Cricetulus griseus: one gene and its partner. The protein of the gene in region 1 purifies or fractionates together with the protein of each later gene. This does not show direct contact. Links are inferred from orthologs where the notes say so. Each region holds a gene or a part of one and is shown on either strand. Other genes may lie near its edges.

Region 1 (4,099 bases):
ACCAAGATTTGAGAAAACCCAGTCGTTTCCTTCCCCAAGTTCTAGTAACGGTTTGCGTTGAATGTCCAGTTGATGCTTTACTTGTCGTCCTCTTCGAATGCTGCTGTCTTCAGAACTTATATGGGCGGCACTTTGCTATCAATGAATTATATAGCGTGTTGTGGGTAATAGCCAATTTTAACTTCATTAAAGTTAAATGGCTACGCCATAAATTTCCGCATGTTTTCTTGAAGCCTTTTGGGGATATTACGAAGTGAATTTCCTGTCGAAATTTAGAGCCAGTTTGATTTTATATTAGTTACGTAAATTCCTCCTCCCGGTGTTCAAATTTAAGGTGGTGTGGTGAATATTAAGATCTGCCTTGGGGTCTTACTTGCACTGGCTGGTGCTGTTAAAGGAACTTAAAAGGGTTAAAAGAGAACACCTAACCGAATTTACCTTCAAATTAGCTTTACAATAGAGCTCCTTTTTACCAGTTGAATTATAAAATACCTGCCTTAGAAAATGTAGCCTGACCAACAGACATGCAAATGCTAAGTAAATACATACAAATTACCGTCTAGTGTGTACAAAACACACTAGAATCCAGCATATATTCAAATATATTTTTATTTTAAAATAAGTATTTTGTGAAATGTCTCAAATTTTGTTTTTAAATTAAGTATTCTCTGCAGTGTCTCAATATAAATAACTTTTGGTTAAGCCTTTCAGACTTGTATTATTCTCTTTCACATTTTACATTAATTCAGTTCTCCAGTGCTTATTTGTGTTAGATCTTACAAAAGTGAAATGCAAACATAAAAATCAGGCTTTTGTTAAGAAAATGTGTTGTTTGTGAGATCTTTTTGATTAATATTCTGTTTTGCTTACATATGTTAGCATAAATTGAGGGGAGTGCTTTAAGTGATAATCAGTCTGGCTGCAAGAAATTCAGCCTGGAACTAGAATAGTCTCGGGGTAGTACCTAAATCAACTACCTGATGTCTACAGTTGCCTTTTGATGCATATAGTGTGGAATGTGTAGCACAAGGAGAAAATTGTTTCTTAAATAATCAGAGTTCTTCAAAAATTTCACTCCAAATTCCCACCTGTTCTTCTTGCCATACACTCTCTTCTACACTTACCTACATATAGTAAGAAGATCTTGCCAAAAGAATTTCCTGCTATTATAGCCTGAATAGATGTGTTGATGGCTTACTAATCATTTGGCTGGGTATTTTCTGTATCCCCAAAGCAGCTCTGAAAAACCATGTGATCTTAACTCTTAATTCCTAGGTAATTGTATGTAATCTTGATTTTATTTATCTTAACAGATGCAGTTTATGTTGCTTTTTAGTCGTCAGGGAAAGCTTCGGCTGCAGAAGTGGTATGTCCCACTCTCAGACAAAGAGAAGAAGAAGATCACAAGAGAACTTGTTCAAACGGTTTTAGCTCGGAAACCTAAGATGTGTAGCTTCCTTGAGTGGAGAGATCTGAAGATTGTTTATAAGAGGTATCATTTTTGTATTTATCAGAAAGGTGAAATATGATCAAACATTAGGTTTATCTCTAATGAGAAAACTGCAGACTTTTTATGTCAATCAACAAGGATTAACAAATATTTCAATGAAATAAGTTAGTTTAAAGGAAAACTTTCCTTTTAAAAATAATGGCTGTTTTGATTGCTTGCCTAAAGCTAAAATGCTAGCAGCAGGGTAATCATTATTAAATTAATTATATAATTACAGCCAAACAATTATTTGTGCTTGGTCAACATTTTAGAAAAATTCAATGAATTCATTTCATTACAGGGGTAGTAGGGACACTATTTTAAATTTTTAAGTAATTTGATAAATAATGGGCATGCATAGATAATAGTGTGATAATCCTTCCAAAAAATCTATAAAGATTTATCAAGTAGCTGATATTTGGCATTCCTTTTATCTGACTTCTATATTAATCTTACTTATAAAGACCCTGAGCACATAGACCATTTCACTATACAGATGTTTAAGTACTTGTGTCTATACAAGATCTCTTTGCTAGTAGTATTTTTAATTTCAAATAGACTTGTTGCTATGGCGGAGTTCTGCTTAGATATGATAATTTTACCAAGGATAGATTTTTTTTAAAAGTGATGTTGCAAAATAACTTATAGATTAGCTTTTTACACAGTTTTTTTCTTTAATGCTATACATCTTTATTTTATATTATAGACTGTTTTTAGAGGGAACATTTCTTGTTTCTTTCCCATTTTTGGTCTTTTTTGAATAATTTACTGAATTTAAGATAAAAGCATTTCTTCATATAAAACACTCTTGTATGGGGAGTGTACAGAAAACTAACAGTAGGAAATGCAATGAAGGTGGAAAGAAATCATGTTTTCTTCTATTTTCTGATACAACATTCCAAGTATGGATGGGCTTTGTGGTGGAGGAGGTGACAGAGTAAGAAATGAGATTTATAGGACATAAAACCCTCTTAGGTGCTTTAGACTTATCTTTATTTCATAATGAATTTCATCAGTCTGGGTGGTTTTTTAAATTCAGTGTTTGGCTTGGTACTGGTTGAGAAAGATCATAGGAAAATCATAGCATTTGAAAGCTGGGAAATGCCTTAGAACAATCTACACGTACACACTCTCACACACAAAATATATATCTTTTTGACAGGGATAGAGTCTTGACTAAAACAAGTAGAAATACAGTTGCTTTTGTGGAATGAAAAATAAGAAGCTGTGCCCTGGCTCAATTGGCCTCTGCTCTCTGCACTAGAGAGAGGTCTTCAATTTGAAAAACAGTTACTGTTCAAATTTCAATTTATAAAAGATGAGAATTTGTGAATAGTGGTTTGGCCCAAGGTCATATACTAGTGATGGGCATGGGGCTACAACTTGTCTTAAGTGTAGAGGCAATGGTTTTAAACAGATGTGGGAAGAAATAAAGATTAGATTTGCATTTTTGAAAAGATTGCTGTGAAACCTTGGCTGGGGGAGTGAAAGGGGCTGAGACTGGCACCTGCAGGATCAGTGAGGGACTGCATGATAATTGGGTCCTGAGCTGAGAGGCTGGAAAGGAGACCTGTTACCTAGGTAAGTCTCAGTAGACTTGGCCACCCCAAGAAGCAGAGATAGCAACCAAGGAAAGAGGGAGTACAGTGGAGGCACCTCCATTTCTAGAGTTTGGCTTATGGGATGAAAGGTAAGCTAGAGAATTCAGTTAATTTGGTGACAAGTTGATATGGCCATATTTGTTCACTTGGCTCTCTGATGGGATGTGGTGGGCATAGGCATGGAACTTGAAGGTGACAATTAAACTTAAAGTATTAGATCACTAGCATTCAGGTGCAGATGGAAGGGCTAAAGAGGAGGCTTGCAGATCAAAATGAGAAAGAAGCAAAGGAGTGATGTTAGGTAAGTAAAGCCCAGGAGCAGATAAATTTGAGAGTAAAACACTAATGCCAGCTGTTCATGAAATTCAGTAAAAGTGAACAGCTCTTAGAATCTTAAGAGTAAGCACTTCATGCATTGCCCTGTTGCCAGAACATTGTCAGTGGAGTAGAGACAGAATTCGTGATATAACGAGGTGAAGATAGAGAAGTTGAAACCGCATGTGTAGAGTATTTGGGAGAGCTTTGCCAAGGACAGAAGAGGTGGTAACTGCTGGCTAGATCTGTATTCTGGAATCCTGGATAGGGTTTATAAAAGATGTGAGAAGTTTAAGCTTATTTCTAGATAGTGAAAGGAGTCCCCCGTGTGGAGGAGGAAAATCCTAGCAAGAGAACAAGCCCATGAATGGGGCCATTCAGAGGAAGAAAAGGAAACAGCAGGTTGGAGCTCGTAGACTTGTCGCTCAGCCTATTCTGGTGATCTCCCTACCTTTTTCAGAAATGATAAAAGAGAACTCCAACCTGATCTGATATTTAGATCAAAGTTTTTTTTCAAATGAAATTTGGAATTAACAAAAAGAAAAATAGCTTTATTGAGATGTTTCATATATAAAATACAGAGTGTATAATGTTTTTCTATAGGCTCCCTCGCATTTCATACTGAAAACTTCATTTACTTCCCACTTAACCATGTATTTTGTTATTATCAGGTGATGTGTTTTCCCTGCTCAGG
Region 2 (4,330 bases), on another chromosome or scaffold:
ACTGGCTGAGCCACTTGAGGGCTTACTGGCCCAAATGGAGAACTGCAAGGAGAGTCACCTGGATCCACTCTGACATCCCAGAACCCAGCTAAGTTCTTGCCTAACTTGATCCTTCCCCGAGGGAGAAAAGGGGAGTGAACAGCAGAAAACTCCCTAGATGTTCCCTGTCCTTTGCTCCTCAGCCAGTCCCTCTCCCAACCCCCAAGGATGGCATGCTGTGCCAAGTGCAATGTGAAAAGCAACAAAAACTATTTGGTGCACCAAGCCCACTCCTCTCAGACTCTGCCACTCACCTCTCTATCCTTTTCTGCCCCCTAAAAATTTATTTGGTTGGTCTGGACTCACTTGTGGCCTTTGATTAAATTCCTAAGGGGCCTGAAGAAGACACTTCTGCCGAGGGTTAGAGGCACGGGAGCAATCGAAGACTCCGCTCCTCAGTTCTGGCAGTTGTGGGGAGCACTTCTAGAGGATAGAGCCAAGTCAGATAAGAGCCGGAAGGGCAGCAGAAGCTGCAACAAGTCTAGTTGTTTCCAGCCCATCACATCAGAGTCCTGTGAGATGGGAACACAAAGGGGAGTCAGAGGAAGCAATGTCTCCCACACTTCCCAGGCAGGGCAGAGGTGGGCGGGCGCCAACCCCAGGTGAGAAGTGGGTGAAGAAGAGCCCTGTTTGAGATATGGCTGATCCCTGTTACTAGCTTTTCCTCTGGGGACAGAAAGCTCTACAAGAGGAAACTGTAGAGCCCAGGGGAACTTTCCTTCCCTGCATGAGGCAGAGGCAAGCTGCCTGCCAACCCCCTTCCTCAAGGAATGGCCTTGCCCGGGAATGCCCACCACACACACTCTTCTTATTTTTCTAGTCAACCTCTGTTTACTCCCTGGCCTGCCTTCCTCCTCCCTCCCTTCTCAACCTTTACTTCTGATTTCTATATCATGGAATTTGGGATTGACGTTATACAACAGTGCCGCCAACACAAGTCTTGCAGGAAAAAAAAATACAAAGAAATTTAACAAAAAAAAAGTATATTAATAAAAAAGTTCCAAAAAGGGGGGGACTGTTATCTCCTTTGGAGTGCGATGGTTTCAAATTCAAGCTGAGTGTCACCTGATGGGTGGGTAATAAAGGAGGCCCCTTGGGGAGCCACAGTTCTGTAACAACTCGAGGCTCCTTCCCAAAGTTCCAAAGACTGAGGCCAGAGGTCAGAAATCTCAAGGCTGCTCAGTCTTGCAGCTCTAGAGGGGCGGGGTCCCGTAGTAGAGGCGGGGAAGAGGGAAGGACAGAGACCAACCACCAAGCCCAGCCGCGTCCTATACCAGGAAGTGCTGGGTGGGGGTAGAGAAGCAGAGTTGACACCGAAGCCAGGTGAGGTTGGGACCGGGAAACTGATACCTCCTGAGATGGGAAGGGGAGCAGGGAATCTCGCAAAAGAAATAGTTCAGGGATCCAGAAGGAAAACTAGAGGTAAGAAACTTGTCGGGGAAGGAAAGCAAGAAAGGGACTGGGCTTTAGCGCAGGCTCAGTAGAAAAAGACACGGGGTGGGGCGAGGACGCATGCGTAGTGGGGATGTCCTTGCGAGGTAGGATGGTCGCTCTCGGTTCCAGGTGGGAGGTAAATGTGGGCACAGTTTTAGGATGGTGGTGTGACTCAAGCCCTTGAAGATCTTGGCACAGAGCAATTCTAGCTATCTGGCTGGAATGGGTTAAAGCCTTTCCACTCTCGGGCTCTGCCCCCAGGATGGTGGTGCCTTCGTTGAAACTTCAGGACCTAATCGAAGAGATACGCGGGGCCAAGACTCAGGCCCAGGAACGGGAAGTGATTCAGAAGGAGTGTGCTCAAATTCGGGCCTCCTTCCGCGATGGGGACCCTCTGCAGAGGCATCGCCAGCTGGCCAAATTGCTCTACGTCCACATGTTGGGCTACCCCGCCCACTTTGGACAGGTACTGACCCGGGATAGCTACAAAACTTGAGGAAGATGATCAATGGGCCCCTTTGTGTATTTGTATCCCGTTTGCTTCTTTCTCTAGTTTTTGTTTTGTTTTGAGACAGGTTGTCTATGTAGCCTAGGCTAGCTTAGAACTGGCGAAAATCCCTCCCTCGGTTTCAGTGTTGGGATTTTCAGGCATACCACATTCCGCCCAGCTAAATCCTTTAGTTTCTGAGCCTTTTATCCATTACTCTACTAGCCAGCCCCGTTCTTAGCACCTTCCCAGCCTCCACTCCTACACAGGTCCCTGAAGCCTGCCTGCCATCATCTGGATCTCCAATTAAGCCTCTGGTTAAAGAGAGGGTGATGAAATTTGATTTCCTCACAAGTTAATCTGGCCTTAAGGAGGAGGATGCCGCAAAATTAGTGCTGTGGTTTCACACTACTCTTCCTGGCCTGCCTCCTTCCCTGTAGATGGAGTGCCTGAAACTGATCGCCTCCCCCAGATTCACAGACAAGAGGGTGGGCTACCTTGGGGCCATGCTTCTATTGGATGAGAGGCACGATGCCCATCTGCTCATTACCAACAGCATCAAGAAGTGAGAGGGCTCTGGGGTGCTTCAAATCAGGGCGTTGGGAGAGTGGGAACCGCAAAATCCCAGAGGGCTGCCTGCTATCAGTACTGGGAAGAACTGGTTTCCCCTGGCTTGACTGACCGTCCTTCCAAACCCTACAGTGACCTGAGCCAAGGGATTCAGCCAGTTCAGGGTCTGGCCCTGTGTACTCTCAGCACCATGGGCTCTGCTGAGATGTGCCGAGACCTAGCCACCGAGGTGGAGAAGCTGCTCCTGCAGCCTAGCCCCTATGTACGAAAGAAGGTGAGATGTAGACCTCTAGACATCTGCCTCTTCAGAAGGTGTTCCCAATCTGCCACATAGGAGAGGTGCGGAGTCTGACTTACTTGGTGGCCCTATCTGAGGCCCTTGACTTCTGCAGGCTGTTTTGACCGCTGTGCATATGATCCGGAAGGACCCCGAGCTCTCCAGCGTCTTCCTCCCACCTTGTGCCAAACTGCTCCATGAGCGCCATCATGGTAAGGGCACAGGGCTCTCCACTGTCCACTTCAGGTCTGGCTATGGATAGATGAAATGAAAAGCAAATCAGGAAGCCCTGCTCATCGGACAAGGGTGGTGCACACATACAAACACACGTGTAGTAGACTGTCCCATGGCCTGGCCCGCCATTCACTGCCCCACCCTGACCCCAGGCATCCTGCTGGGCACCACCACGCTGATCACGGAGCTCTGTGAAAGAAATCCTGCAGCCCTCAGGCACTTTCGCAAGGTGGGCTAGTGAAGGGGCAGGCCGTGGGGCAGGCAAAGGCGGGAGGTGGGTGAAGAATCGGGGCTGATGGTTGAGAAGAGAGGAGGTACCCTCAGACAAGGCTGCCTGTGCCCTTCTTCCAGGTGGTACCCCAGCTGGTACAGATCCTCCGGACTCTAGTGACAACAGGATACTCAACAGAGCATAGCATCTGTGGAGTCAGTGATCCCTTCTTACAGGTAAGCTGAGATGTACTTGTATCCCTGGAACAGCAAAGGCTTCACAGGAAGACCATGGCTGGTAGTCACTTTCCATTTTGGCACAGTCCAACTGGCAAGCTCATGATTGCTCTAGTCATCCTAGGACTGGGGATAGGGAATCAAAGGTAGCTACCAAAAAGTCAGAAAATCCAGTTTGGTAACCATATAAAAAGCCTGTTCCAAAGCCGGGTGTGGTGACACATGCCTTTAGTCCTAGCACTTGGGAGGCAGACAGAGGCAGGCGGATTTATGCAAGTTCAAGACCAGCCTGGTCTACAAAGCAAGTTCTAGGATATCCAGGGCTACACAGAGAAACCGTGTCTCGAAAAACAAATCAAAAAAGGCCTGTTCCAACCCCCCCTGACTCTACACAACTCTGATCTCCTCCCAGGGTCCAGGGATCTGTTGGGTGGGGGCGTGCTGGGAGTCAGAACCCTCGGTGTTGCCCACAGTGTTAGGTGTTTTCACTTCAGGCCCACGACATTATCCTATAAACCTTCTAATCCAATCTCAGGTCCAGATACTTCGTCTGCTTCGAATCCTGGGACGGAACCATGAAGAAAGCAGTGAGGCCATGAATGACTTGCTGGCCCAGGTAAGAGGCACCCCTTCGGCATGTGGTTCCTTAGGGTCCATCAGCCCTGGACTTTCCTCACATGACCATTTATTATTCAGAAGTCTCCTAAACCAATGAATTCCGTGAAGGAAGGATATAGTCTGTCATTGTTCTATCACCCTAGTGTACAGGCAGTTCTTACATAGAGTAGGGATCAGGGAACTTTGTTAGGGGCAGAAGGACAGAGAAGAGAGAACATAGTAGT

Evidence for each region.
Region 2: the proteins of Ap1s2 (region 1) and Ap1g2 purify together in Homo sapiens (affinity purification with mass spectrometry; 3 studies listed by BioGRID and IntAct, counting the BioPlex papers as one, with this or other methods). This does not show direct contact. The link is inferred for Cricetulus griseus from reciprocal best matches to the Homo sapiens genes AP1S2 and AP1G2.

Annotation. Positions count from the first base shown.
Region 1 is NC_048604.1:98,735,339-98,739,437, forward strand, and holds the start of Ap1s2 (AP-1 complex subunit sigma-2), read left to right. Parts: upstream 1-1,298; 5' UTR 1,299-1,313; coding exon 1,314-1,492; intron 1,493-4,099. UniProt on the Homo sapiens protein: Subunit of clathrin-associated adaptor protein complex 1 that plays a role in protein sorting in the late-Golgi/trans-Golgi network (TGN) and/or endosomes.
Region 2 is NW_023276807.1:210,295,846-210,300,175, reverse strand, and holds the start of Ap1g2 (AP-1 complex subunit gamma-like 2), read left to right. Parts: upstream 1-1,528; 5' UTR 1,529-1,551; coding exon 1,552-1,577; intron 1,578-1,734; coding exon 1,735-1,939; intron 1,940-2,400; coding exon 2,401-2,525; intron 2,526-2,662; coding exon 2,663-2,804; intron 2,805-2,922; coding exon 2,923-3,019; intron 3,020-3,193; coding exon 3,194-3,270; intron 3,271-3,392; coding exon 3,393-3,488; intron 3,489-4,023; coding exon 4,024-4,104; intron 4,105-4,330.